Linked DNA regions of Nothobranchius furzeri. The protein of the gene in region 1 interacts with the protein of each later gene in a pairwise test. Links are inferred from orthologs where the notes say so. Each region holds a gene or a part of one and is shown in the gene's direction. Other genes may lie near its edges. The genes, in order: rnf41, asb6, enoph1 and homer2.

The links.
Region 2: the proteins of rnf41 (region 1) and asb6 interact in binary tests that used the Homo sapiens proteins (3 or more experiments, as listed by UniProt). The link is inferred for Nothobranchius furzeri from reciprocal best matches to the Homo sapiens genes RNF41 and ASB6.
Region 3: the proteins of rnf41 (region 1) and enoph1 interact in binary tests that used the Homo sapiens proteins (3 or more experiments, as listed by UniProt). The link is inferred for Nothobranchius furzeri from reciprocal best matches to the Homo sapiens genes RNF41 and ENOPH1.
Region 4: the proteins of rnf41 (region 1) and homer2 interact in binary tests that used the Homo sapiens proteins (3 or more experiments, as listed by UniProt). The link is inferred for Nothobranchius furzeri from reciprocal best matches to the Homo sapiens genes RNF41 and HOMER2.

What each region holds. Positions count from the first base shown.
Region 1 is NC_091755.1:37,149,198-37,154,525, reverse strand, and holds the start of rnf41 (E3 ubiquitin-protein ligase NRDP1), read left to right. Parts: upstream 1-2,199; 5' UTR 2,200-2,324; intron 2,325-3,043; 5' UTR 3,044-3,139; intron 3,140-5,130; 5' UTR 5,131-5,150; coding exon 5,151-5,240; intron 5,241-5,328. Other genes in the region: uncharacterized protein, read right to left, coding at 17-1,306. UniProt on the Homo sapiens protein: Acts as E3 ubiquitin-protein ligase and regulates the degradation of target proteins. Polyubiquitinates MYD88. Negatively regulates MYD88-dependent production of pro-inflammatory cytokines.
Region 2 is NC_091757.1:35,486,217-35,491,446, forward strand, and holds the start of asb6 (ankyrin repeat and SOCS box protein 6), read left to right. Parts: upstream 1-1,717; 5' UTR 1,718-1,788; exon of another isoform or gene 1,789-1,815; intron 1,816-2,159; 5' UTR 2,160-2,192; coding exon 2,193-2,302; intron 2,303-2,452; coding exon 2,453-2,637; intron 2,638-5,230. UniProt on the Homo sapiens protein: Probable substrate-recognition component of a SCF-like ECS (Elongin-Cullin-SOCS-box protein) E3 ubiquitin-protein ligase complex which mediates the ubiquitination and subsequent proteasomal degradation of target proteins.
Region 3 is NC_091746.1:62,893,818-62,899,074, forward strand, and holds the start of enoph1 (enolase-phosphatase E1), read left to right. Parts: upstream 1-2,095; 5' UTR 2,096-2,317; coding exon 2,318-2,402; intron 2,403-2,419; exon of another isoform or gene 2,420-2,624; coding exon 2,625-2,716; intron 2,717-2,855; coding exon 2,856-2,957; intron 2,958-5,257. Other genes in the region: heterogeneous nuclear ribonucleoprotein D0, read right to left, coding at 1,259-1,428. UniProt on the Homo sapiens protein: Bifunctional enzyme that catalyzes the enolization of 2,3-diketo-5-methylthiopentyl-1-phosphate (DK-MTP-1-P) into the intermediate 2-hydroxy-3-keto-5-methylthiopentenyl-1-phosphate (HK-MTPenyl-1-P), which is then dephosphorylated to form the acireductone 1,2-dihydroxy-3-keto-5-methylthiopentene (DHK-MTPene).
Region 4 is NC_091749.1:41,495,713-41,500,290, forward strand, and holds part of homer2 (homer protein homolog 2), read left to right. Parts: intron 1-629; coding exon 630-761; intron 762-994; coding exon 995-1,087; intron 1,088-1,526; coding exon 1,527-1,666; intron 1,667-2,928; coding exon 2,929-3,085; intron 3,086-3,625; coding exon 3,626-3,736; intron 3,737-3,744; exon of another isoform or gene 3,745-3,759; coding exon of another isoform or gene 3,760-3,800; intron 3,801-4,578. UniProt on the Homo sapiens protein: Postsynaptic density scaffolding protein. Binds and cross-links cytoplasmic regions of GRM1, GRM5, ITPR1, DNM3, RYR1, RYR2, SHANK1 and SHANK3.

The sequences.
Region 1 (5,328 bases):
TTTGTTTTCTACTCACAGTTCGTAGATAGAATAGTCTGTTGTACTCCTTGATGGGGAATCTCGTTCCATCAGAATGTCTCAGTACATTATTACCTCGCTTGAAGATGACCGTTGCTCCATTGGTAGTAGCTGCCTTCACAGAGAAAATGTCTTGTGGATATGAAGGGATGTATAGTGCTCTCTTTAGCACCACCTTGTGTTGGACCCCTCTGCTGTCGATCAAGGTTACCACAGCCTCTCCTCTCCGTTCAGCCACTCCTCTGCTCCGGGTTCCGTCTGCCAGCTCGATGTAATGCGACCTCGGCTCGAAGTCCTCGTCGAACCTCCTGAACCTCTCTGGATCCGTGATAATGTGGGACGTTGCTCCTGTGTCCACCATCAGATTCCTGGTTCTGGTTTCGTCCATCTCGCCGTCAGCGTCTTGTAGTCGGAATGCGTATTCCTTTCCCTCGTAGTCATCAGCAGCTTTCCGTGCTTCATCATCTCTGTGTTTCTTTCTGCACACTTCAGTCTGGTGCGTGGTGGTCTTGCAATGCCTACACCACTTTTTGCGGTCACATACATTAGCTTTGTGTCCCTTTTTACCGCATTTAAAACAAATAAAGTCTTTACTATCAGCGCTCCGCTCGTGCATGCTTGGTTGAACATATTTCGGCTTCAGGTGCTTGACCCTCTCATTCATCCGTGCTGCCATCACATTGTCCTCTGTGGCAGTGTCCACACGCAGTTTTTCAGTTTCTTCATAACTTCTCAGTTTACTTTTAAATTCTGAAAAAGTCATGTCATCATCACTTTGTGTCACATGGATTCTAAAAGGCGTAAATGAGTCAGGTAGACCTTTTAAAACCATTGCTATTAGCAGTCCATCGCTCAAAGTTTCACCTGCGGTTCTCAGCGCTGTAATGGCGGCCTCGGCTCTCAAAACATAATCCGTTACACTCTCGCCGCTCTTCTGCTGTAATGCAGTCAGTTCTGTATATAAGCTTATTATGCGGGGTTTTCCCTTCCCGGCATAGTGTTCTCTCAAGATAATTAGAGCTTTCCGCCCGTCGTCAGCTGCGTCTCTCATCACCAGTGAAAGGCTCTTATCATCCAGGAATTGTATAAGTTCGGCATATGCCTCTGCGTTCTTTGAATCATATTCCTCATCATCGTCATCGTCTTTCGGTTTTAATATAATGTCTTTCAAACCTTGTAGCCGGAGGTGTCCGAGAAACTTTGTTTCCCACAGTTCATATTTATCCTCGTCTCCGTCAAATACCAGTCTTGACCAGCGGGTACTGGCTTCCACTGTCTTCCGACTCATAGTGTCCGACACACGTCGTAGCTCTCACTCGACTCACCGGACTTGCTGTTGGTCGGTTCTGTGCTCCTCACACGCTAGCAGGATGCTTTCCCAGCTGTCCTGATTAGCTTGGTGCGCAGCGGAAGCGTGCTGGGCCCATAACCTGTTAGCAGAGTTTCGTTTACCCAGCGGTTGGTCCAAGACTCCAAAATGAATCTCCAGGATTAAAAAAAGGAGGAAATAAATCCATAAACAGAGCGTCTGTTTCACGGGCCTTCACTGGTGGTAGCACACACTGATTGCGGCCACTAAAACACCAATGCTCCCTTTTATTGGTCAATTTACGAGGTCAAAGTTTAACTTCCTCTACAGGTACTTTTCAGTATAAAAGCATACATGTATATACACACACACACATTCTTATTTACAAATTTACACAGATGCATAACATAACAGAGCATAACAGAGCACATTAGACTGATGCTTAACAATTATTTCACAAAATTGATCCATTTGAGGCTTTTTTATTGGATGAAATCATAATGGAGGAAATGTATTGTCTGAGCTCTTGAAAACAAACAAACTTTTCAACATGGCATTTAGCTTACATTATTATAATATTAATGTGTTTTTTTAATCTCAATGTCATTTCTGAGGAACCCAAATAACACATTTCTCCATTATAACTTGAAGTCCGGATTAATGTTTATACAATTATTTACCCAAAACTGATTAACAAACAGACAATTAAAAAAAGAATGTACAAAGAAACAGCAGTCCGTTATGAAAGTTTTAACCGGATAAGGACATTTTCGACAGTGTTAGTGATTAACATTGTTTCGGTAAGAGAGACATTTTTCATTATAAAATTCACTTTTGGGATTTCTGCAGTTTTGCGTGATGACGTTTCCCCTCGTGTCGATTGAGACGTAGACTTGTATGACGTAGCACCAAGACGTGATTAGCAAGGGGCTAGTGTTGGTACGACGTCTGAAAACAGCCTGAATTGTGAAAAGGATCTATTTTACTCAATGTCTGAGTAAGTATATCAGTCAGCTGTTATATCTTGAGCAGTGCAGCTGACTGTAAACAGCTATTGGTGTGTGAAGTTGTCTCTAACGGAGGTCAGTCTGGTTAGCTTATAGCTAATGTCCAAAGGAAACCAACGACAGCGTAGCCGCTAGCTGGGCTAGCTAACGTTACATATTCAGAAATCGTGACAGTCAAACTGTGCTGCTGTACTTTGTAAACCATTAAGATATTTTTCTCTTTGACGCATGTTTACGTTATTAAAAATCAAGTTTTTACGATTTAGTTTAAAGTGTTATTATATGCGTGAAGATAACATTGAGAAACCTCGATGCTCAGCTAAGTTTTGTGCTCCTTGCTCTGAAATATGATGGAAACATGTTGATCTCAAAGCTGTTTCTTTTCATTTTTTGGAATCATTCATTTGTTAACCAGGACAGTAGATAAATATGTTTATTGTAAAATCACGTTGAAAAGTCAGCCTGAGGATGTGAATATGTATGAAAATGGCTACGCTCAATTTAAAGTTCAAATTCTTTATCCTCCAAAAAAACTGTCGGTATGGTAAATTTTTTTAGAAAGTACTTAATCTCAGATTTCAGCTAGTTAAACTCATTTGAGTACATTGTGTATACGTGATATGGGATTTAATGTTCTTGCATATGTGGTTTACAATCATCAGACTAAAAGTTTTTTTTTAAATGCAATAATTTTTTCCTTTTTATTCAGGCAGGGTCTGTGTCTTTTTAGGCAGGCAGAGCATTTCTGCCAGATGTGAGGAATCGAGGAGCTGAATGGAAATATTTGAGGCAGTTTGTGTTTGAGGTAAACAAGATGTTCTAACCAGAACTGTAAATTATTATTTTGACAAAATGTCAATCATTTTTTGATAGTAATTATTCATAGATAGTGTAAAAAACCCTTCTCATCTTAGTTTTAGCCAGGTTTGTTTCACAGTACTGGTATTTAGTAGCGTAGCAAGTGTATAAATGTAAATGTAAAAAAACAACCACACACACATATATACAAACAGTGAGCTAAAGAATTAGTTACTGTACTATATTACATTATCTTTCTGAGCACTCCTTTTCTATGGCCGTCTCCAAGTTTAGGTCCTTCACCACCACCCTTACCCATGGTGTCCCACAAGGTTCTCTGCTCTTCCTCCTCTATCTGCTTCCTCTTCAGCACATCCTGAGCTCCTTCAAAGGAATATCCTACCATCTTTATGCAGATGACATCCAACTGTACATCTCCTTTAAGCCCCATGAGATGTCTAAGCTGCAGCTGTTACACACCTGCTTAGACTCTATCAAAACCTGGATGGCTGGGAGCTTTCTTCAGCTGAATGAAGATAAGACTGAGATCCTCATCTGTGCCCCAGACAAGCTGGTTCCCAAAGTCAGAGACTCTCTTGGTCAGCTTGCTTCCCACACCAAACCTTCTGTCAGGAATCTTGGCGTGACCTTTGACCCAGCTCTCACCCTGGATTCTCATGTCATTTCTCTTGTTTGCTCTTCCTTCTTCCATCTCAGGAACGTTGCTAAGCTGAGTCCCATTCTGTCCCGCTCTGAACTTGAGACAGTTCTCCACTCCTTCATCTCCTCATGCTTAGACTACTGTAACTCTCTTTTCACGTGTCTGAGCAGAACCTCCCTGAACCGTCTACAGGTGGTTCGGAATGCCTGTGCTCGGCTTCTGACCAAGTCCTCCAAACACACCCACATCACTCCGCTTCTCCTCCAGCTTCACTGGCTGCCAGTCAACTTCAGGGTTCATTTCAAGATCCTGGTTCTGGTCTATAGGGCCTTACATGGACAAGCACCATCTTACATTGGTGATCTTCTTAGTCCCTACACCCCCAGCAGGTCCCTGAGGTCCGGTGATCAAAGCCTACTGGTTGTGCAGCACCAGACTAAAGACCAAAGGTGACAGATCATTTGCTGCTGTGGCCCCCAGACTCTGGAACTCTCTCCCCCTGAGCCTGAGATCAGTGGACTCAGTGGTCTCCTTTAAAAAGCAGCTGAAGACTCACCTGTTCAAGCTGGCTTTTGTATGACCTTCTTCACCTCTCTCTTTTTGTTCTGCTCTCCCCACCTATTCCACCTTCCTCAGGATCCACTGATTTCCCTCTTTCCTGTTCACTCTCTCTCTTTCTTAACATTTTTTAATTACAATTGCCCATTTTTTTTGCTCATTTAAAATATATTTTTAACCATTTTCTAAATTCTTTTTTATATTTTTTCATTTTTTGTTTTTGTGAAGCGCCTCGTGATTTTTATCTTGAGAAGCGCTATCGAAATGATATTTTCTTCCTCTTCATAATAAACAACATGATGAAACATGTCACCTTCTTGTGTTGAAATCTGTGTAAAATACTTTCGGTTTGGGGGGGGGGGGTGAGATTAAATAATTCAGCATCTCAGAAGCCCTTTTACAATACACACCGCCTTAATCTTATAAAAAGGACACGATTGCACCACATTACCGCCACAGTCTGACCACTTATGAACAACCTAAGGCTCCCTGATGCTGCCACGGCATTGCGGCAAATTAATGGCATTGTTTTGTAAAAATGGCTAGAGTGATAATAGAAACATTTGCTCATCAGGTTGCAGTACAAGCATTGCCAAGTATCTCCATTTCTGCTTTCTGAAAGGCATCTGGGTCATCCATTACAATACGATTTGGGACAATCACATTCCTCCTTTACATTATTTTGTTGACAAAGAAATTTTTAATTACATTAAAACAGCTAATATACCTACTATGTGTAGGTGGTTTATATTTAATCTTTTTTAAATTGTGTTGTTCAGGAGGTTGTAGGTTGTGTACCATGGGGTACGACGTTACGAGGTTCCAGGGTGAGGTAGATGAAGACCTGCTGTGTCCAATATGTAGTGGAGTGCTTGAAGAACCAGTCCAGGTAAGTCAACCACATGTATAAATAATAAAATCTGCTCGTGTTCAGATCGTTATATAGTTTGGTCCCAAGTATGAAATCTGTTCTACCA
Region 2 (5,230 bases), on another chromosome or scaffold:
ATCTGATCAAATGACTGAATTCTGTTTTCTGTTACACAAGTGGAGCTCTCAATTTGCCAAATGAATTCTACCAGCAAAGTTTGTCTGGGATTCAGTACATGGTCACATTTACATGATGAGTTAAGTTCACTTTCATGCACACATAAAAACGTTTACTGATGCATGAGCTGTGTAATAACAGCTGTGGATTATAGATCCTAGAGGCAGGATGTGAGCACTGCAATGCTGCCACCTAAAGACTGAGCATCCACACAGCAATGAAGTCACAAACTGCATCCAAAGTTTCAAAGAACAGTCGTTTTTAGAGTTTTACTTTAAGATTTTTTGATTGGCATCTTTCCTTATTTTTTCTACAGCTATTCAAATCAAAGTTGTCCTAATATCATAAGCAAAGAAACATTAAAGTGGGTTTCCTAGAGCAGATCCTTTGCGTCTCTACATACCCGAGGCAGTCTGACAAGAACAACATATGTTTTGTTCAAATTTGCTGCCGTTAGCTCACACAGAAAACACAATGTGCATGTTTCAAAAGTGACATCTTGTATGAGAGCCCTTCTCAGTAGTTTTCAAAGACAGCCATCTGTTACCAACTCAGGGGTTCGTTTGCTGAGCAGGACAAAAGCAAACGTTAGAAAACTGATGCTGTCAATGAAATTAAGTAGTAAAAATTGGAATTCCTGCTGCTGGACAATAATGTACCTTATGGAGATACAAATAATTAAAACAAAAAGTACCACCAGATGACTGCAGTAGTGAAAAACAAACAAAGAACATTTCTTGGTCAAAACTGACATGTCAGTTACTAACTTATCAGTGATTTGATTGCTGAATGAAAGTGGTATGTTAAATGTTAATGGTACTGTTGTGTTTGGGGAGATGAATGTAAGCTGCAAAAACTGTATTAGGGAGGAGAAATCTAACTTAATATTGGAAAAAAAAATGGGTGAAATTCAAACACAAATATTATCTAAATCACAGAAACAAAAACCAGCCTATTACATTTTACCACACTAATGTTTTAAATGCCTGTTAATCATTCAAAAGAAACTTTTAAAGACCATCTTGAGCAGTTTGAAACTCCATCACCCACAGTTTAATAATGTGTCTCCAAAGTGAAAGAGACAGCATTTTACATGTTCATTCAAGTGAAATAACATTTGAAGGGTTTTAAAGCAAATTATACCAAATTATATTAGGCCATCTTTAGACTAGTGAAAATTATTTATTGTTAAAAAAAATGTTTACAGTGTTCAATTGTGTCCCGACAATAACTTTTACACATGTGAGTTGCTAGTATCAAATTTGAATAGAGAACAAGTAATTTTACTAAACATTTCTCCATATGGAAGTGGAATTAATAGCTTTGCAATTTTTTTTATCATCTTTCCTTCAAAGCCGACACCAAGTTCTACATTACAAATAAAACGTATCATAACAGCTTCTTTTTCTTTGCTTGTGTTTAATCAAATTAGCCTAATCGTCTGTTTCATCAGTGTCAGCAACATCTTTCCAAAGTTAGTGCTCAGAAACATAAATTCAACAGATCTATAGGTTCTTAGTTTGCTTCCTTTTTTATTACTAGAATGCATTGTTCCCAATTGAACGCATAGCCTTTTAGATATAAAACAACATGATTTTTATTTTATTTTATTTTATTTTATTTTATTTTATTTTATTTTATTTTACACTGCAAACCGGAACTTTAGTCATGCAGTTTAAATGGGAAGGCAATCACCGTGGGACCACAGGGGTGTTCATGTTAACTTCCTGTTTTGAAATCAAAGGCTCGTAAGTACCAGTCTGCACTGTATTATTGTAAGAGTTTTATTCATCCATTAAGTAAATTCACTTTTTTTGACAAAGATAATGTATAAATAATTAAAGCTAATAATTTAATCAGTGAAGCTTCAATTATCTGTAGTTTTAGATGTCTTATGAACGAATGAGGTAAATATGTTCACGGGGAGATAACAAAATCGACCTACTTTCTATGAACAGATAGCGTTTATTTAAGACGTTTTATTCACAATTTTTACATAATTTCTGCTCTGTTACATACTCATGGAGGTCCGCTGAACTCACGTTGTTTTTAATCCCGCTCTGTAAGTCGCGCTGACACATCTCCTTTTTGATTTTCTTTTGGATTCTGGCCACGCTAGAGTTTTGTTGGAGTGTGTACAAGTGTAAAAACCATGCCTTTCCTCCACGGGTTCCGGAGGATCATTTTTGAGTATCAGCCGCTTGTAAATGCTGTCATGCGTGTTGTTGGACTTGAGGAAGAAGATGGCAGTCAAGACACCAGGTAATTCTGCTAAAAAAAAAACAACAACATTACATTAACGGGTAATTTTTTTTATATCATGATCAGTTTCTGTATCGTAACAACCACTGCATTTAAAATATAAATTGATTTTTTTTAAAGCTTTGGATGAGACATTTACTTATCTTTCAGTTGTGCCAAAAGTCCCGAGGATGAGTCCAGTAGAAGCAGCTCTTTGGTGGAGCTTCTGGAACAAGAGTCCCAGTCTGAAGTGTTTTTGGAAGGCATCAGCTATGCTCTGTTTAAAGTGGCCGAGCGGGGACTTGAGTATGCCGCAGAAATCCTTCTACAATATGGAGCTGATATCAACTTTGAAGGTGAGTCATCCTTGGATAGTGTGTCCAAGTTTGCAAACACTCCAGGAAAAAGGAGGATTGCTCATTTAGGGATGTGCGGTAATGCACAAATATATCAAAAACTAAATTTACTGAAAATGTTTATTGAGACATAGATGCTCTTTGGTTGTTGTTACAATATTACCTTGTAGTAAGTGTTAAATGTGTGTTTTACGTGTAGATAACTTCTTCTCTTCATCTCATTGCTGCATGTCTCTGATATGGGTTTTTCTATTGCAGAATCAGATGCATGTATGTAAAGGTCATGTTTAGCCGATGGCTGATCGTTGGTCCTGATTCTTTGGGCTAATTTTCATGGCTGATATTTAGATGTTTTCCTCCTTATTTGCAAGCTAAAATTTTGTTAATAACAAGAATGGGTGTACATTTCTGAACCTAAATCAGTTTTTGAACACTGAATTTTACCAACCCATCAATTTTAATTTTGTGCATTGCACAGCATTGAAACATTTCATTATAAAACTGGTAAATCAAAATAAATGTCAGTTGTTTTAGAGCATTTATTAAGCAGATGGTTTTAGGAAATTTAAATTTAAGTAAAATAGTAAATGAATAAAATTTTAGAGTTTAAACAATTTAATAAAAGTGTTTAAAAACTCAATAATAAATGCTGCTAAAAACACAATAAGAACCTGCTGAAACACCAGCAATGTCATCAAAAATGCATTCAAACTTTTTGTATTTTACTAACTTGTTTTAACTTCATTTAAAGTATGAATGAAACATTTTTATGCACTTGACTTTGCAGCACATCATAGCAACAGACCCCTCATTTCAGAGGTTGGATATTCCTATCTGGACACATCAGTAATTTCATCAGTAAGCGTTTTTCTAAATGAGTTACTGACACAAAATGTCCATCAGTCACTTTCAACTCAAGTGTTTAATTCATTCAAAGACATCTAAACTTTTAAGTTCATAAATTATGTGTAATAAAGTTACACATCACTTACATATAACTTACCCCGCTTACACAAATAACACAGGGAAAAAGTATTAAATACATGAAGGAGGGTAACAATGTGCAAAATGGCAAAGAAAGCCAGGAGACCACCTGAAATTACAGTCAGTATTAAGAGTGAAACCTTGCCACTTTTGCTTCCAATGTGCAGTAAGTTTAACCCCTACTGCACAGTGGAAGCGTCAGTGGTGCGAAACGGCACTGCTTCAAATAAAATCCATTATTTTCAATGGAGTGTAACAAAGCAGCCGCGGTGTGGCAATTTTCAGACATGTCCCAGAAGCAGCATGTCGCACCGTCATAGTAGGATCGGGTTCTATTTTTGTGGTGAGTCGCTTCTGGGATGCATCAATTATCGCAGTTAACATAGGGCTAGACAGGAAATCAGTTTCAGTGTAAAATCCCCAGTAATTTTCTAAATAAAAGTATTGCAGTGAAGCAATTACATATTTATGAAGCTTACGTGTGACCTAACGGTTTATTTACTCAAAGCATCATTCCCAAAGTGCAGCGGTGTGTTTTCGTGGCTTTTATCCTGGCAGTGGAGAGGAACAACATAATTTATGACATCAAACAGCGATAACGACGTGATTTCCTTCTTTTTTTGTTCAATAGTGGATTGTATGCTGGTGAAGGTTCTCGGTCATCCAGGTCATGGTAATCCAAAAAGGTTCAAATGAGGGCAACTGGACTTCTTTGGTTTCTCAAAGATGTTTCACTTCTCATCTGAGGAGCTTTGTCAATTCTAACTGGAATATGGGAGAGTCAAAATTATAAGCTGTAGCTGTCTGTTGTTATTTAACGAGCCAAAACTACTCTGGGTACCCCTCCTCTTATGGTGGATTGCATTAACAAACCGTAACCTTTAAAGTCTCGAGGGATCGTGTGGTCTTGCGAGGAGGTTGGCAGAAGTCTCGAGGGATATTGTGATCTTGCAAGTTGAACGAAGAGCATGGCAGAGAAGCTGCTTCGCTGCTGAGACTCTTGGTGTGCACTTAAGTGCAGTGATTATCGCGGGTAAACCGTTCCACGTCGCTGAAGCTTTCAGTGTGCAGCCGAGGTTACTGGGAGTCTGTAGTATGGTCAGATGAAAGCAAAATTGAACTTTTGGCTGTCGTTCTACACACCATGTTTGAAGAAGAAATGGCACTGCCCACCTATGACAGTTAGGTTTTGGGGTGGAAGCATCATGATGTGGGGCTGCATTTCAGAAAGGGGTACTGGCGGACTTCATATTATTGAACGCAGGATGAGTGAAGAAATGTACTGGGACAAAAATCTGGATAAAAATCTGCTGCCATCAACCAGAAAGCTGAAAATGAAGACTGTGGACAGTTCAGCGAGACAATAATCCCAAACAAAAGGCCAAGGAAACAATTAATTGGTTTCAAAGAAAGAAAATCAAGTTGCTTGAATGGCCCAGTCAGTCACCTGACCTAAATCCCATAGAAAATCGATGGAGAAAACTGAAGATCAAAGTTCATAAAAGAGGCCCAAGGAACCTACAAGATCTGAAGACCATTTGTGTGGTAGAATGGGTCAGAATCACTCCTGAGTAATGCAGATGACAGGTCTCTCCAAACATGAGGCGCC
Region 3 (5,257 bases), on another chromosome or scaffold:
TAAGCACTGGAGGAAACCCTGTCAAGATCGTTAACACTTGTTTATCTTACTGCTATTGAAACATGTAAACCAAAATGCATTATATCCATTGCTACCTTTCTAATTTTAAACTCAGTAACTTATGCTGTAACGTCACCTTGCTCTGCCTGCTCCTTTCTTCTTGCTGCCCGCCGGCTGTGATCACAAGCGACAACATAGTAGTTCCCGCTGCTTCTTCGGGAAACAGCGCATGGCGGGCCGCCACGGCTACGCCTATGTAAGGGAAACCCTGTATTTTAAAACATTTTCTAAATGCTTTTTTATATTTTTACATTTTTTTTTGTTTTTGTGAAGAGCCTCGTGATTTTTATCTTGAGAGGCACTATAGAAATGATATTTTCTTCTTCTTCTATTCTCTTACAGTACCAGTTGATCACTTTTTTTGAAGAATTTATTTGAGATTTTCTGGTTTTTATTAATTGTGCAATAGACAAATAATAATTAGATTAATCGCCATTAGAAAAGTCAACTATTCGATAAAATAATCGTCAGAATAATCATTTTAAAACTAATCGTTTACCCCCAGCCCTAACACCAAAGTAACTTGAGGTCTTAAGGGGAGACTGTGCAGTGTCTCTCCTTAAGCCCTCCTCCAAATAACCATGTTATTAGGGCAAGAATCTGACAATATGACAAATATCACAATAAAGGGGAGATGATACGATATAATGCAATACTAAAAGCCACATGATTAGCTATTTTAAAGACTGAATTTAATTTTAAATCACTCCAGACGCTTTCAAGACACATCCAGCGTTTTCTCGAGATCTTGTCGTTCCATCAGAATGAAGGCAGTAAAACTGCTGCTACCTAGCAGTCAGAGTTTGAATTGCATCAAACAAAATAATTACAGTAAATGTTAACATTTAAATTGTGAATTACAAACATCGAGAAATATTGATTCAGTGACATGAAATATCACAGCATTGATTTTCTTGCATTCCAACTGATTATGGTTATATCTAAACGGAGTGAGACAGCAGAGTCAACAACATGCTAAAGAAATGTGTCCCGTTATTCTCACTTTGACTACTCAACATAAACATCTTTATAATTGTGTAAATGTATTAAGTCTTACCGATTTCCTTGCTGAATTTGTCTCTATATGTACTTATGCAGATGTAGCATCCATGTTGTATATCCTTCATATAAGTCCAAAAGCTTTGACTGAGAGTGAAATAATAAATGACCGCGTTATGAAGCTGGAACAGTAACATACCCTTCGTCCTCCTCGTTTTTACTGGCGTCAATCCTCGACCCTTCGGCCTCGCCTCCCATCGTCAGGCCACAGTCCCCACTAGCGGACATCGGGTCGTCGTTGTTAGCATCTCCATCCTCCTCCATTCTCATCAGGCTCGAGCCTTCGCTGAATTCATAATCCTTCGACATATTTTGGTTTTTTCAGGCACCTAATTTTTAACTAAAGCGGCACCGGGAATTTTTGAGAAAATACAAATTCACAAAAAAATAGAAGTTGCGCTACAGATAGCTAGTGGCTAGCTAATATTTATTATCAAATACCATCAGATAAAAAAACGAAGCAAACGCAAACCGTGTAGCTTCTTCACGGAAACATCTAAGGTTTTGATTAACAGAAATTTAAAGCGTTTAAACTGATAATTAACTATCTTCCAAATGTTATTTTAATAATAAGAGCGTCGTTTTGTGTCGTTTTTTATCACCGTCACCGGATTCTTCTTCTCTGTTTTAAAAACGGATGAATTAGGAAACCAAACCGGGAACAGCGTCACCCAAACGTGCCGGTGTTACGTCGAAATGTGTGACCCCGTTGAAAACTGTTTCTCCCACTGGCTTTGCCCTGCCCCCTTGTGTTCGGTTCAGATGTAAAGAGATTCACACAGCTTTATCGCACATCCGACTCGCCTCATCAAAAAGTACATAATTTAAGTTATATATTTTCTTCACCTAACATTTTTGTCTTCGCAGTCGCACAAATATATTTGCCGAGGAACACCTATGACGACCATGCTGATGCTGACAGCAGCGAACAGTTTCAGACGGGGTAACCTATACAACATCTAAGTGTAAACATTAAACACGGTTAAAATAAACGTTCTTTGAACGGCAGATTATAATTTCAAGTGAACGTAAAGAGAAAATTAAAAATTGAATGGAAAATATACGGTGTGTGTGTTTTACGTAGAATATTTATCTAGTCAGCTAACACCCTCAAAGAAATAGCACACACGTAACAATGAATTCTAATTATTTTCTGACATGCAAAACAAAATATTATTAATTGTAAACTGTTCAAAATATGTTTTTAAATGATGAGTCCTTGCTATTAAAATACTCAGTATCGTCACCTAGTGAGTTGGAGGTGAATTGTCAGACCGGAACATGTGAGTTAGTTGTTGCATTGTGTGTTCGCTAAAGTAATGGCTTGAATAATCACGTAGCAGAGATCAACTAAAGCCATTTCCTGCTCATTTATAATCTCGGTTTTGCGGTATTCGACCTGGACACGCACGTGGGAACAGAGCCTCGCTGTAACACCACACTATTTAAGCTAAGCTATCGTTAGCTAAGATAAGAACCTCCACCATCCTTGTGTTTTATTCTAGTTACAGAAATGGCCACTGTTTCTATTCCTGCTCGCACTACAACAATCTTGTTGGACATCGAGGGAACCACTACACCAATTACATTCGTTAAGGTGAGTTACATTTGTTTTTATTGTATTAGGTGGGTCCAACCGTAATGCTAAGTAAAGAGCTAACAGTTGCATACGGCTAAAAACTGCCTGTTTCTAACAACTGAAAACTAATACACTCCGGGCTTTGTCACTTTTCCAGGATATTTTGTTTCCTTACATCAGGGAGCATCTGGAGGATCACCTGTCCACTCACTGGGAGGAAGACGAGTGCAAACAAGATGTGCATTTGCTAAAGAAACAGGTATGATTAAAGCCTTAAAGTGAAATTAAAGTGAAAATAAATATTTAAATGGAGCCTTAAAAAATATATCTATCATGATTATGATAGAAAGATTAAAATAAAAATACAAGGAAATCCAATAATTGAAGAAAAACAATTACAATTTATAAAATGGCCTATAAAGCCCAAAGTAAAAGAAATGCAATTTAAAATTCTCAACAACTACTATCCATCAGCAGAGACACTGAGGAAGAGATTTGGTTTTGAAGTTGACCCTTGTGAATTCTGTCAGGGAAGCCCTGAAGAAATAGAACACTTATTTTTCAGCTGTCATATAAGTAAGAGGTTTTGGGAAGAAGTCCATTGTTGGTTAAGAAATAAAATAAGAGAACTTGATCATTTTACAAATGAAGATATTCTTATTTACAATTCTAAATTAAAGGGGAATAATTCATTGTTAATTAACAGTATTATTATTATTATGGGTAAATACCACATCCACAAAAGCAAATGGAAAAAACAACTGCCAAACATGAACTGTTTCACAAATGAATTCCATATGTTCTTATCCACTTTGACTCGTATAAAAAATTCAAATGCAACTGCAAAAGCCATTTGTCATGCTGCAGAAAAATGTTTAATCTTGTAACAATGTTTTTACTTTGTGATATAAGTGCCTCTTTTTAAGTTTCTTATTTGTTTTTCTTTTATTGTTACTAAAGATGCCTTGTATGTTTCTATTATGTGTTGTTGTCTCATGAGAAATTGTAATAAGCATTTAATGATAATAGAAAAAAAAGAAGAAAACACATTTTAGTTTAAAAAACAACTAATGCATTTTGATTTAGCAATAAATGTTTAAGTTATTAAATAAAAATAAAAGTCTACCAAATTCACTCAAATAACAACAAATGCAGTTGTTTTTTTTTTTACTTTTTTTGTCTAAATAAACTTAATATACAAAAAAAGGTATGATTAAAGCCACAGTGTGATGTTTTTACCAGTTTACTATCAAATCCTGTGCTTACAGTTGACAAACTTGTCCTTTTTCACTAATATTTCTCACCAACATCAATTCTAAATATTCCTCTCAACCTGAAATTATACGTTTTTAAATACATAAACTATGGTCGACGCTCCATGGTCATCCACCATCTTAAAATACAGTAGCTGTCTAGGGACTAGGGCTGCAACAACGAATCGATAAATTCGATGAAAATCGATTACTAAAAGCGTTGGCAACGAATTGCGTCATCGATTCGTTGTGTCGCACAACTCTTCCAAAAGCGCCCCCCCTTCCCGCCCGCCGTTGCGCGCAGACCAGAGCAAGTCAGATCAGCGCGAGGGAGAGCCGATCAGCGCGAGGGAGAGCCGCAGATCAGCGCGAGGGAGAGCCCACAGATCAGCGCGAGGGAGAGCCGGTACCGGCAGATCAGCGCGAGGGAGAGCCGGCAGACTTGCGCTGCTGCGAACCGGTTCCGCATTGTTGTGCAGCGATCCAGGCAGCTGCTTCCAGCGCACGGTCCATTCTCAAAGTGGTTCAACCAAAAAACTATAATTAGCACACGATCGTTCATGTCCGCACATGTTCTCTATTTTGTCTTATTTGTGCCTGAAGCGCGCTACTGCGGAGCTCATCACCTGTGCTGTGGTGATTTCACCTCACGCAGCATCGAAAACGCGCTCTCCGCTGTGTGGTCAGGAGATCCCTTTGATCTGCTCAAAAGTAACTGATGAGGTGAAAAGGTAAGAATCCAGGCAACAGATTTTCTGGAGAATTAAGAGGAGATGCAGGAAGATGAGAGACAGACAGGACAGGAAAATAGTTAAATAAAAACAAGAAAACAAAACAAAGTGTTGAAAAGTAAAAAGTAGGCAGATTTATCTCCACTACACGTTTTTACCTGTAAAAAACAATAAGTTATACATACACATGTTATATTTATACATCTGATACAATTCAGATCACCTTCAAAACTCAGTCACACACCCAGGGCCGTTTCAAGACATTTTGGGGGCCAAAGCAAAATGCCCCCCCCCCCCCCCCCCCCATAACTGGGCTCCCCAGAAGCCTCTGTGTAATTCATACCCTCTCCAGTAGTGTTAGTTATACAGTGTTTATAAAAGCCCCTCAGACATTACTGACATGTTCTAATATTATCAGATGAAAAACTAAATGATCAGACATGCTGTCTCATCTGCTGCTTTTCTAAACTTTTTAAAAGTAACAAAACCATGTGAAAGCCACCATTTGTGGATTCTCTGAAAGTTTCCATGGAGTGTGTGACAACTTATTTTTTCATTGATCCTATCGTCTAATC
Region 4 (4,578 bases), on another chromosome or scaffold:
GCAAGCTTACCTGCACTTAACCCCACTTGTGGAATGTTTCATTCAAAAAAACCAACAATGAGTATTTCCTGCTTCAGTCACAGCATTTGGATATTACCCAAATCTTTACAAGACTGCTAGCCTTACAGTGTCGATGACATCTGGGAAGGAGGGCGAATTGAAATGTGGGACATTATCCCAGCTTTTGGGACAAGGGACGAGGGACTAAATGTTGTGCAGTTCCACACAAAGGACACCCGGTCACCTTGGCTACAGACAGTGAACATGTTCTGTAAGAAATATGGACCAAAATTTGAGTAAACGTTACTGGGTCAGTAGTCGCTGCTGCAGAGTATTTGTACCTTTTGATGTCTTTGGTTGATTAACAGAAGTACGACCATTTATCTATGATTGTTGAGTAAAATAACTTTTAGGACACTGTTTTCTGTTGCTGAGATTAATGTGCCTGCACTACGTTAATGAATATTTATAATGTTTTCATTTGAGTGTGACTGAGCAGCATCAAGCTGAGCATGTTCCATCCTGATGGAAATCTATGAGAACGATCCTGGAAGTCAATATATTAGTCTGACTCCATCGATGACCGGTCAGATCTCAAGAAATGTAATTGGCTGTTTTATTCCTGACAGGTTATCATCAACAGCACAATCACACCCAACATGACGTTCACCAAAACGTCACAGAAGTTTGGTCAGTGGGCAGACAGCAGGGCCAACACGGTGTTTGGACTGGGTTTTTCTTCAGAGCAGCAGCTGTCAAAGGTGAGATGAAACATTTCTGTAGAAAGCCACTCATGTTGGCTGGAGACTGCAGATGGTTTTAATCACCATGAAGCTGTAAAGGATTTCAGGTTTTGAAGGGAGTAGTTTTATCTGTTCCTGAGATTCTGGATAATTAACTTCATCATTCACCCAAAACGTTTAAAAATGATTACATTTGTAATTTCCTATGGGAGGTTAGCTTGTTCGATCAGTCTTTTGTCTTGTGTTTTCAGTTTGCTGAAAAATTTCAGGAAGTAAAAGATGCTGCCAAAATGGCAAGGGACAAATCTGAAGAGAAGGTGGAGATGGTGATTAATAATTCTCAGGTAAGGCCTCACCCACCCACTGCTGGGTACAGTAGAGGAAAAAATCACCAGTAGTTAAGAGGAAGAGAGAGTTTATGGGTTCTAGTTGTTAATAAGTTGATTTGAATGTCAACAAAATCTAGAACATTCATAAATGACAGGTCAAGGGTCATCTTACACCATAGGTTAGGAAGGTGAGCAGCCATCAAGTCAGAACAAGTAGGCTTTATGAAAAAATACTTCTTTTTTAAAATGTTGTCTGAGTTATCAATCTCCTGCTGCTGCTGACCCACAAAGCTGCCGGCCAATATGATGTGATAAATATTTGCAACAGCATTTTCTCACCCTTCTGCTGACTGCGTGCTCAAGGTCTTTGCAGAAGTAAGACCTGGTCATTTGTTACACATAGAGAGAGTGTATCGTAATACTTCCCCCCCCCCTGTATTTTATTCCCTGCTAGGAGTCTGAACGCCAGACGCCTTCAGCCGACCAGGCGTCAAGCTTTAACGGAACAGATGATGAAAAAATCTCCATCGTCAGTCCAGAGGCCGCCCAGCTGAAGACTGAAAACGAACGTCTGAAGAGCGTCGTAGAGCAGAGGTAAGGTTTTATTTCAAAAAAACTTGGGAAGAACAATTTATTTCATTTCTGCTCAGATGATGTCACAGAAATGACAACGATTCACTCTTCACTCCACTGTTAGCTTATCTGAACTCATTAATCCCAATGCGTGGAAATCTGTTATTGTATGAAACGCCAGATGTGCTTCCAGATGGGATCAAAATGACCTCGGGATGGCGAAGGCAATTAACGGCTACACTAAGTGGTTTTTGCCTAAATTAAATCTGGGTATCTATGAAAATGGTAAAGAGAGTCATATTTTATCCAGGTGGGAAAAGGAGAAAATCTAAAGTGTAACCAAGTTGGGAAATGTCCATTACAGCTGTAGATAATGTTTAGTTTCATAGATTTAAAGGATTCCTGTGTTTTATTTCTGTAACTGCTTTAATGCATAAAAGGGCTTGATTTAAAAAAAAAAATTAAGTATAACATTTTGCATAAATAAAAAAAAATCCACTTTTTTATACTCTCACAACTCCAACAATAAAACAATAACCAACGTTGTCCTCAAGGACACAAGCTTAATTCATAAAACACGATGTTGGGCAGCTTTTATTTTGTTAAGGAATTTTAAATAATTCCTGGACTTTGTGATGTCTTCATGATTTAAATAAACAATAAAATAATATAAATAAATAATGGAAAATTTTATATTGTAAAGACAATAATTTCAGCATAATTACTCTAAACATTTAGAATCGTGTTATGGGTCACTTAAAAAATAGTTAAAAGGAAAAAATCCTGGCATCAGATCCCTGTGTCCTGCTCCTGTTGTTAAAACGTTCAGCTTATTCTCTGTCCCCGTTGGTCCTTCCCGGTCCTCTACGGGGCTTTGGGGTTTATCTTTGTGGAAATGTTGCAGCAGGATGCTGCTGTGCTAGCTTATCCACATTAAATACAGGCTAGAACATTTTAAACCACTCACGCATGAAAAATGCAAATAGCGATGTGAATCATAACCATATTTTAGAAGAAACGCATGCACCCTGTCATCTAAAAAACTAACTGTGTGTTGATACACAAAATATAATAAGAACTTATTTAACTTATGCCTTTTGCTGGGCCTGAATACCACTTGGCAGCATGATGGTGGCTAATTTTAAATCATTACAGAAGGATTTTTGCAGCATTATGTGCCCTGTCAGTAGACACAAGACTCAGCCATTTCACTTCTGCTCAGTCTCAATTTCACTTCCATCATTAACACCCATTAATATGTCTCTGTCTCTCCTGTCTGGCAGCAACGCCAACACCAAGAAGTGGGAAACGGAGCTCCAAACTTTAAAAGAAAATAACGCCAGACTGGAGGATGCACTGCAGGAGTCTTCCTCTAATGTAGAGAGCTGGAAGAAACAGTTCAGCACCTGCAAGGAGGAGAGTGATGCGCTCAGGCAAAAGGTAGCCACAGTGTGTCCTACAGGAAGGCTGAATCACACAACACACACATCAGTCCTGTAGGTGGAGAAACTAGTGACAGCTTAAGATTTCTGTAGTGGCCTCTGACGAAGAGTAGATAAATGATTTGATGCTCCCCACCAGTTGAGTTAATATATTAAAATCTGTCAAGCATGATAAGAGAATCCCTTCTGTAATATTGATGAGGTAAATGTTGATTTCTCTATGGCGAGAAATCAGAATGCATTACGTTTCATTAGCTTCAGTGTTCCCAGCACAAGTCTGAGTCCACTATAAATAGAATCATTTTAGTTTCATAATCAATGTGGGCTGTTTCTGCAGCGGCATGGGCTGCTGTTGCAACAACACTTTAGTCGCATGCTGCCGCTCCTTGTTCTGTTTCAATAAATGTCAGTTTTCAAGATGAGACTAGATTGATACACAAGTCAATAAATGTCATAAAACGTTAATAAAGTAAAAGCAGTCTTGTCGGCAGATGAAACTTGACTAAAAGGGAACCCTCTTGTTTTATTCTTTGCTCAGATTGCAGAACTTGAGGCCCAGTGTAACGAAGCCAACCAGGAGAAGCAGAAAAACGCCCAGCTGACCGCTCGAGTGAAGGAGCTGGAGGCTGAGCTGCAGGAGAAGGAGCAGGTGAGACTGCAGCATTTTGGTCTTTAAAACAACAGGCTCGCTTTCTGGAACTGGACTCTCTCTGCTGTTAAATAAGAGTTTACACGCACGCACGCACACACACACACACACACACACACACACACACACACACACACACACACACACACACACACACACACACACACACACACACACACACAGATATATTTCAAATGTGTATTGACTTCATTTTGATCATTATAACTGACAACTAATAAAAATCCTAAATTCAGAGTCACAGAATATTAGAATATTGTGAAAAGGTTCAATTTTGAAGACCTCTGGTGCAACATCCCAACCTGCAAAAGCCTTTAAATGGTCTCTCAGTCTAGTTCTGTAGGCTACTCAATCATGGGGAGGACTGCTGACTTGACAGTTGTCCAAAAGACGACCATTGACACCTTGCACAAGGAGGGCAAGACACAAAAGATCATTGCTAAAGAGTCTGGCTGCTCACAGAGCTCAGTGTCCAAGCACACCAATAGACAGGAGAAGGAAAGGACAAGATCTGGTAGGAAAAAAGTGGACCACAATAGAGATAACGGCACCCCGGAGAGGATGGTGAAAACAAAACCCATTCAGGAATGTAGGGAAGATTTACAAAGAGTGGACTGCAGCTGGAGTCAGCAAACCACCACGCACAGACGTTTGCAAGACATGGGTTTCTGCTGTCGCATTCCTTGTGTGTCAAACCACTCATGAACAAGAGACGGCATCAGACATGTTAAAGTGCTAAAGACAAAAAGGACTGGACTGCTGCTGAGTGGTCCAAAGTATGTTCTCTGATGAAAGTAAATTTTGCATTTCCTTTGGAAATCAAG